Schizosaccharomyces pombe: one gene and its partner. The gene in region 1 interacts genetically with each later gene. Each region holds a gene or a part of one and is shown in the gene's direction. Other genes may lie near its edges.

Region 1 (3,866 bases):
ATGTGGCCCAGTACCATATTCAACTTGAATTGTGAAAGTACTGTGTATGCGATTATGTTTAGGCTCCACATCAAGCACTGAGACCTTTATTAGGTCGGTAATAATAGGCAATACCGGCTGCCCAGATTTATCTCGAATAAAATGCTTGGCTATAGGTAAAGATGCAGGTATGCCTGCTTCGAAAAGATTAATAGCAGGCAAGTTCTCCTTTAATATAGGCTTTTCATCTTCCCTTTTAAATTTGCGAACAGAAGCCATTAATTGTGCCCACATTTGTCTGGCAGAATTACGGTTTGCCTTACTTGTATGGGCAGCAGCTGCATCACGTTCGTCTCTCTCTAAAGGAGGAACTTCAACGTTCTCATCCTCCATTGTCTGTGTGATAAATTCTGGAGTTTGCACTCTTGTACTATCATTCGCAGCAAGATCGTTAACGTTTTCAGAGGCTGTATGCCAAGAAGACCCCCGGGTGTGTTCCAAATCGGGCCGTTTTGGAGGATTTAAATTAACAAATTCAGAGTAGTTTTTTGGATCATTCTCAGGAAACGATGGAATAGAATGGTCGACGTTTTTTTCAAGATCTGTAATTTTGGATGGTGTGTGATCTTCTGCATCTTTCCGTCCTGTCCCCTTTTCAGAGTAGATGCTATCATTTACATTTGTGTTTAACGAATAAGGTACATTATCAATCACTGAATTTCCACCTTGATGAATTGTCATTTTGTTATTAAATTAGCAATTGGCTAAAGTTTTTTTGAGACTCAGGGAAATCCAAGTCCCTATGGAGAAAAGCCAATGCTTTATAAATGAGTAAAAGCCAAGAGGGCTTTATTGAACAAATCCCAAAAACAGTTTAAGTGGTTTGGTAAAGCTTAGCTGCGCATTTCAAAATGAATAATACACCATCATGAAAGCTTGGTTAAAGTTTCGTTTAACTGCGCTAGCATAAATAAGGAAACTTTATGAACAATACAAATGTTTATTTACATCGCTATTGTGTAGTTTAATGGTATTTGTCCAATGGATATCGATGCTTCCTACAACCAAATTATTTTTTCTTGAAGAGTTCGTCTCCCTTTTATTGTAATCGTCGAGCAAGAGTTTGTTCAGCTCAACTTACATTAGCTTATCAAAATTAACAATACATATCTCTACTAGTTGTCAGCTATTCCTCACTAAATTATTATTGCACTATGTTAAATACCACTATATTGATTTACGTTTCCACTTTCAAAGTCGTTAATACAGCAAAAAGCTACACAAATGCCCTACATGAGACTTAGATATTTGCGTATTATGCTATTATAAACAATGTGCCTACGTTCCTCAATTCCCTGATTATTATACTATGCAGCATAGTTATTGCTAGCCAAATTAATTATAACTGTATTCGTGGCGACTCTACTCATAAAATAATAGCAAACTCTTTCTAGGTGTATAGATTCGTAAAAAAAATTTACGAGTTAAGAATGCGTACACAAAATTTTACTTTGCTGTGCACTGTCGGATTATAATGCATATCCGACAGAATTTGCAAGGACCTCCTTAAATATCATAAAAGTACTTATCGAAGAAGCACACCAAGGTCAGAAAGGCGGTTTTAACAGGTTAACACTAATTAGTTTTACTGCTAATTCTTTGAGTATGCAGAAATAAAAGAAACTCAAAATACAAGGTGATGCTTCTAACTAAAAAAGTTTTATGGTACTTTAGACATGGAATTGAATATCAAATTCGTAGCATTGCTTGCAAAAAAGGATACTCTGAGCATAACGTTTCAAGAGTACTTATTGAAAAAGCCCGATCGCTTTCTTCAGAGTATCTTCAATTCCATCAAGTAAATAATAAAGTAAGTGTCGGCAAACAAAGTGTGAAATCAGCCTGCTACTGTTCGAGATACAATAATAATGGTAATACAAGCATACCGGACATTAAGCTTTACTCATGAAAAATTAAAATCTGATATAAATGATCTAACTTATATCTTTTAGGATCAATCGGCAATGACAAACGATACAGATTTAGCAAAGCGAATCGCTAGGCTTCGACGCGTTCATAATGCATATTCGAAATTTAAAAGTTTGTCTGAGGTATGATATAAGACGAATTTGTCTCAAACTTGTAGTCAAAAGCTTTCCTTTTTTTTATTACTCTTCCTATTTATAGTAATCGATTTACAATGGTTTTTTTTTGCTAATGGGTCTATAACTTAAGACTTTTGCCAGGCATTTACTGTTTATCTAAGTAAAGCTATTTGATGAGCATGTTGAAATACTTAAATAACTAGTTTTTGAAAACCTTGATTTAAAAAAATTCTAACAATTTAGCAAATAAGCGATTTGAAACAAATGGAGGCCCAAGAGTCAGATGCAGAGGTTAAAATGATGGCAGTGACTGAAATAAACGAAATAAGTAATAAAATACCAAAAAGCATAGAAGATCTTGAAAACACATTACTTCCACAAGCTGATTCATATGCTCTTCCTGCATTAATCGAAATTCGTCCTGGTGTAGGAGGAACAGAGGCCGCAATATTTGCAAATGAACTAGTGGAAATGTATTTTCAGTATGCAAATTTTAAAGGATGGAATTGCAAATTTATATCAAAAAGTGCAGTCCAAGGACTTGAAGCGATAACGGAGGCCATCTTCTCTATTGAAGGTGAGGGAGCTTATGGTCATCTTATGTTGGAAGGAGGTGTTCATAGGGTTCAGAGGACTCCTGCTACCGAAACTAAAGGAAGAGTTCATACGAGTACTGCATCAGTAATCGTTTTACCTCAGGTGTCAAATGATGAATCCTCTTCTCTTTACGATTCATCTGAAGTTAAAATCGAAGTAATGAGATCTCGTGGAGCCGGTGGACAACACGTTAATAGAACAGAATCCGCCGTACGTTTAACACACATACCCACTGGTATCACTGTTAGCATGCAAGATTCTCGTTCTCAGCATCAAAACAAAGAAAAGGCATTTCTTGTACTGAATTCAAGATTGGCTGCCTTAAATGCCGCAAAAGAAAATGAGGCTGAAAGACTGAAACGTAAAAATCAAGTAACGTCTTCAGATCGTTCGGAAAAGCTACGAACTTATAACTTCAACCAAAATCGAGTAACTGATCATCGGATAGGTTTAAGCATGCACGATTTATCAACATTTATGCAAGGTGAAGAAAAATTTGACGAGTTTTTGGAAAAAATAAGAATATGGAATCGTGAACAGTTGCTATTACACTCTGAAATAGTATAGGAATGCTAATTTAGTCTAGTAAAATAGGAAGGTACAATAATATATGGTGGTCAAACTTCTATAGAGAAAAATGTTTATTAGGTATATGCAATGAATAATGAGAAAAGAATGTGCAACATGTCATGCAAATAAGATATCCATAACTGATCTTTAAAAAAGATCATAGGTTAACTCATAATAACATATTTTTAACTACCACTTAAACTGGAATCTCTTGAGGCGACTGCTTCGTTCACTATCTTTGCATCCTGATCAATAAAGATTGCGGCACTTTCATTGGAAGCAGAAGAATGGCTGAAATTACGTCTTGTCTTTCTAGTATTCAAGGCATACGACGATCTGATCAATGAGGTGGGCACATTTTCAAGAGTAAATTCAGATTCAGCGGGAATTTCTGAAGGTTGCAGCTCCTCAAACGAAGATCTTGGAGATTCGACAGCAGTATGAGATCGGACAGAAGAAATGGAGTCTGGTCTAGTTGGTGATACATCTGTACTCCGAGGAGTAGCAGAAGATTGATATAATACACGGTCAGAAACACGTTTGGATGAATTCAATTTTCTGAGTTCTTCAAAAATACTTGGTCCGTAAGTTAAAAGATCCTCCATGAACTTCGTT
Region 2 (3,643 bases), on another chromosome or scaffold:
TTCGAGATTTTCCTTACTTTGAAGATGATGGTTTTAATGGACCTAAACAAGTTACAGATCTTTTTTTGGTGGTTCATGGTATCGGTCAAAAAAGATCAGAGACTGGTAAGTAAACTTGATTTTTTTTTATCTTACACCGGCATTCAATTACTAATGTTGACAATATAGAGGAACGATTCTTATTTACCAAGACGTGCAACGTTTTTCGTTCATTGATCCAAATTCAGAAAAACATAATGAAAGAGGATCCGTTGATTCGAAACGATTATGAACCACAACTTCTTCCGATATGTTGGAGAAATAAGCTTAATTTTAATTCATATATAAAGCCAGTTGCCGGTGATGAAGGACGGGTTGAGGATGAAGAATTTGAAGAAAATCGATTTTCAATTGAGGATATTGAAATTGATAGCATTCCAGCGGTGCGAAGGTTATTAGGAGATGTGATGAGTGATATTCCCTATTATATGTCTCATCACAAAGAATCCATTATAAAGTCTGTAATTCGTGAAGCTAATAGGGTTTACCATTTGTGGAAGGACTGCAATCCTTACTTTTTAGAAAACAAGGGCCGTATCTTTATAATTGGGCATTCTTTGGGCTCCACAGTTGTTTTTGATATTTTGTCACTTCAACCCACTTTTGTCAAAGAAATTACTATAGACGATGATGAAAGCTGCTTTATATTCGACACAAACGGTTTTTTTTGTTTTGGTGGTCCGGTAGGTTTTTTTTTGCATTTGAATCAACAAAGTATTATTCCTCGTCGTGGAAGAGGCTCATCAAGATACGAAATAAATAAAAACTTTATAAATTCTGATGTTCCAAAGTCATATACTTACGATGGTTATGATCGGTACGGATGTCTCGCAGTCGACTCTTTTTATAACATCTATAATCACCTTGATCGTAAGCGCATCATTAAATTATCGTATTTACTAACAAATTAGCCGTTGCGATGCGATTAAATCCCACAGTGGATCTCTCATTTTCGAAAGGCATCCACCCAACTCGTATACTGTTCACAAGAAAATCTTCAAGTATTTTGAGAATGATCTCACATTCTAATACTGATCCTGTGGAACTTCGAAGTTACAATCAATCTTTGCAGCAAAATAAAAACAATGAGCCCACAGCAGTGGTCCCACTGGAGCCTGAACAGACTGTCGAGTTAGAGACTCGCAATTTTCGCAGAGAAGAAAGGGCCAAGTGGCGCATGCAAGAGTTGAATGAAAACTCTCAGTTGGACTACGTATTTACGAGTGCCCATGGGGTCATTTCAAACAAATATCTTTCTATGCTTTCGGCTCATAGCAGTTACTGGAGTAGTGAGGATCTTGCTTGCTTTTTAGTAGTGGAAACTGGCCGAAACTTTGGTATTGCCAATTCAATTGAGCAATTTCGTGGAAAGCATATGCCACGTATATTCAAAGGGGACAGCTCTTGAAAATTTTCTTTTTATTTTATCTGACAGTATACCAGCGAGCTTCATATTTATTAGCGATGCGAAGTGGACAAATTAAAATGAATTTGATGAACATTGGATAATGATGATTTTTTAGGATCACTTTAATGACTTTATATATTGGCATTCGAAAGATGGTTTTGCATTCAATGACCAGATACGAAAATTTATTAGAGTATTTATAGCAACACTAGTGATTAGCTAGTTTTTTTTTTGTTTTTAATCTATTGCTATTTTTCCAAAGCTTGTTAATACAAACGAGTAATTCGTTTTATTTGTCTCTAGATTGGTTTTAAAAAGTGTCTATACAAGCAGTTAAAGATTACAGAATGCTTCAAAGTGCCCCACCTCGTTGTTATTCTATTTAATAACCGTTTTGACAAATATAAAAAACTTATATGCAACGTGACTTTGGCAAAGTGTGCGTTTATTCTAGGATCCCTCATAGGTAAATGTAAAAAACATGTTCTTCTTCTACGATAAATATAGTAATAGTCATTTCTTTCATTTTGAGATTTGAAAACCGAGGCAAAAAAAGGGTATTTTGGGTATTCAAGCTTATTTGGAAGAACGCTCACCACTCACGTTTTTTTGAATTCTTCATACAATGAGCGGCCATACTGATGCCGATGAAATTCATGAGATTTTACGAAATAGTACGACTGGTTTAGTCCATTTAAAGGATTATCAAAGAGTAAAACAAAACATCGTTGAAAAACGAGAGAAACATGCGCTATCAACCACAAGTACTAAAATGTAAGTGAAAAGAACGAGAAAAGCCCGATAGTATTCTAAATATGACTGACAATTCAATTTTAGAAAAAAGAGAAAAGATGCTTTAAGCAAAAAGGTCAAACAGGGCATTAAAGTTAACAAAGGAAAACTTTCTTTTGGTGAAGATGAAGAACTGGAGAATGATGATCTACCTTTAAAAAAAGTTGAGAAAAAAATGTTTATGGGAAAGGATCCATCTGCGGATACCTCCTTTTTGCCAGATGCAGAGCGAGAAATACGTGAAAACGCGAAGCGAGCCGAATATCGCAAACAATGGCTAAAAGAGCAGGAGCAAATTCGGGAAAAAGAGATTTTGATACCATTTATCTATTACGATGGAACAAGTACCACTTATCATGTAAGGACTAGATTGAAAGATTCGGTTGGACACTTTCTTGCTGATATGAAACAGCAAATCCCATTTTTGAAGAGGATTCTGGATATGGATAAATTTTTACTGGTTCAATCTGATTTAATCATTCCCCATCACCATGAGCTTTACTACTTTTACATTAATAAAGTTCAAGGACGTGATGGACTTTTATTTGACTTTGATAAGCTGTCATGCTCTAGTCCAGAAATGGTTGCAACTACACAACTTCCTTCTCAATGCATTCCTCATCTAGTTCAAAAATCATATTATTTACAAAATCGCCATGTGTTTCCATGTGTGCATTGGGAAGTCTTTGATTCTCGAAAAGATTATTCATTGGAAAAGCATGCAACTGATCCTAACGCTGCATTATTTTACCGGCCCTCATAATGCCTTTTAAAAAGTTTTCGATTTTTTTTCTCTTGGTTCTTTATTTTTGTTTTGCATACTCATACTTCCCTCATCGACTAATTTAATAACAATTTCATTACAACTATATTGTTTTTATGTTTGTATTTTAAACAAATGAATTGCGCCAAACATATAACTTGATAAGCTATACAAAGAGAGAGACTTTGGTAAAAAAGAAACAGATATTATCCACTAAGTATTCGCAATGGGTTTTAGTATTTACACTTACTACTCTCAACATCACTCCAACCTTGACTGAAAACCTTGATTTCATTGATGTGCTATAGGATATTGTAAAATAAAGTAATTAAAAAATTAGCAATTCGCTTTTGGAATTATTAAATGTTTCCTTTATTATTGAATTCTCATATTTCTGCTTGTTTTTATTTAATGTATCGCAGCGTTGGTATGCAAATACATAGTATTTGATCATAAACATATTAACGATACGTTAATTTGCGGTGGATTATACTGTGCTATTTAGGTATACAATTTTTGGTAAAGAAAAAAGTGATCGTGACTGAATGATGAGAATAACTATTCTATTGTAAATAAGAAATGAAATTCGCTTTTCGTTCTCTTGGAAGTATAAGCATGTCGCTTTTACGAATGTTCACGAG

The links.
Region 2: mutations in mrf1 (region 1) and xap5 together harm fitness less than expected from each alone (positive genetic interaction), as found in Schizosaccharomyces pombe (one large-scale study listed by BioGRID).

What each region holds. Positions count from the first base shown.
Region 1 is NC_003424.3:568,558-572,423, forward strand, and holds mrf1 (peptide chain release factor), read left to right. Parts: upstream 1-1,610; 5' UTR 1,611-1,678; coding exon 1,679-1,849; exon of another isoform or gene 1,850-1,991; coding exon 1,992-2,090; exon of another isoform or gene 2,091-2,176; intron 2,177-2,195; exon of another isoform or gene 2,196-2,327; coding exon 2,328-3,248; 3' UTR 3,249-3,319; downstream 3,320-3,866. Other genes in the region: phospholipase D Pld1, read right to left, coding at 1-720; putatiRho-type GTPase-activating protein Rga8, read right to left, coding at 3,437-3,866.
Region 2 is NC_003421.2:753,185-756,827, forward strand, and holds xap5 (splicing factor, xap-5-like protein), read left to right. Parts: upstream 1-2,067; 5' UTR 2,068-2,072; coding exon 2,073-2,221; exon of another isoform or gene 2,222-2,284; coding exon 2,285-3,002; 3' UTR 3,003-3,106; downstream 3,107-3,643. Other genes in the region: SPOM_SPCC1020.13C (DDHD family phospholipase), read left to right, coding at 1-105, 169-909, 951-1,447.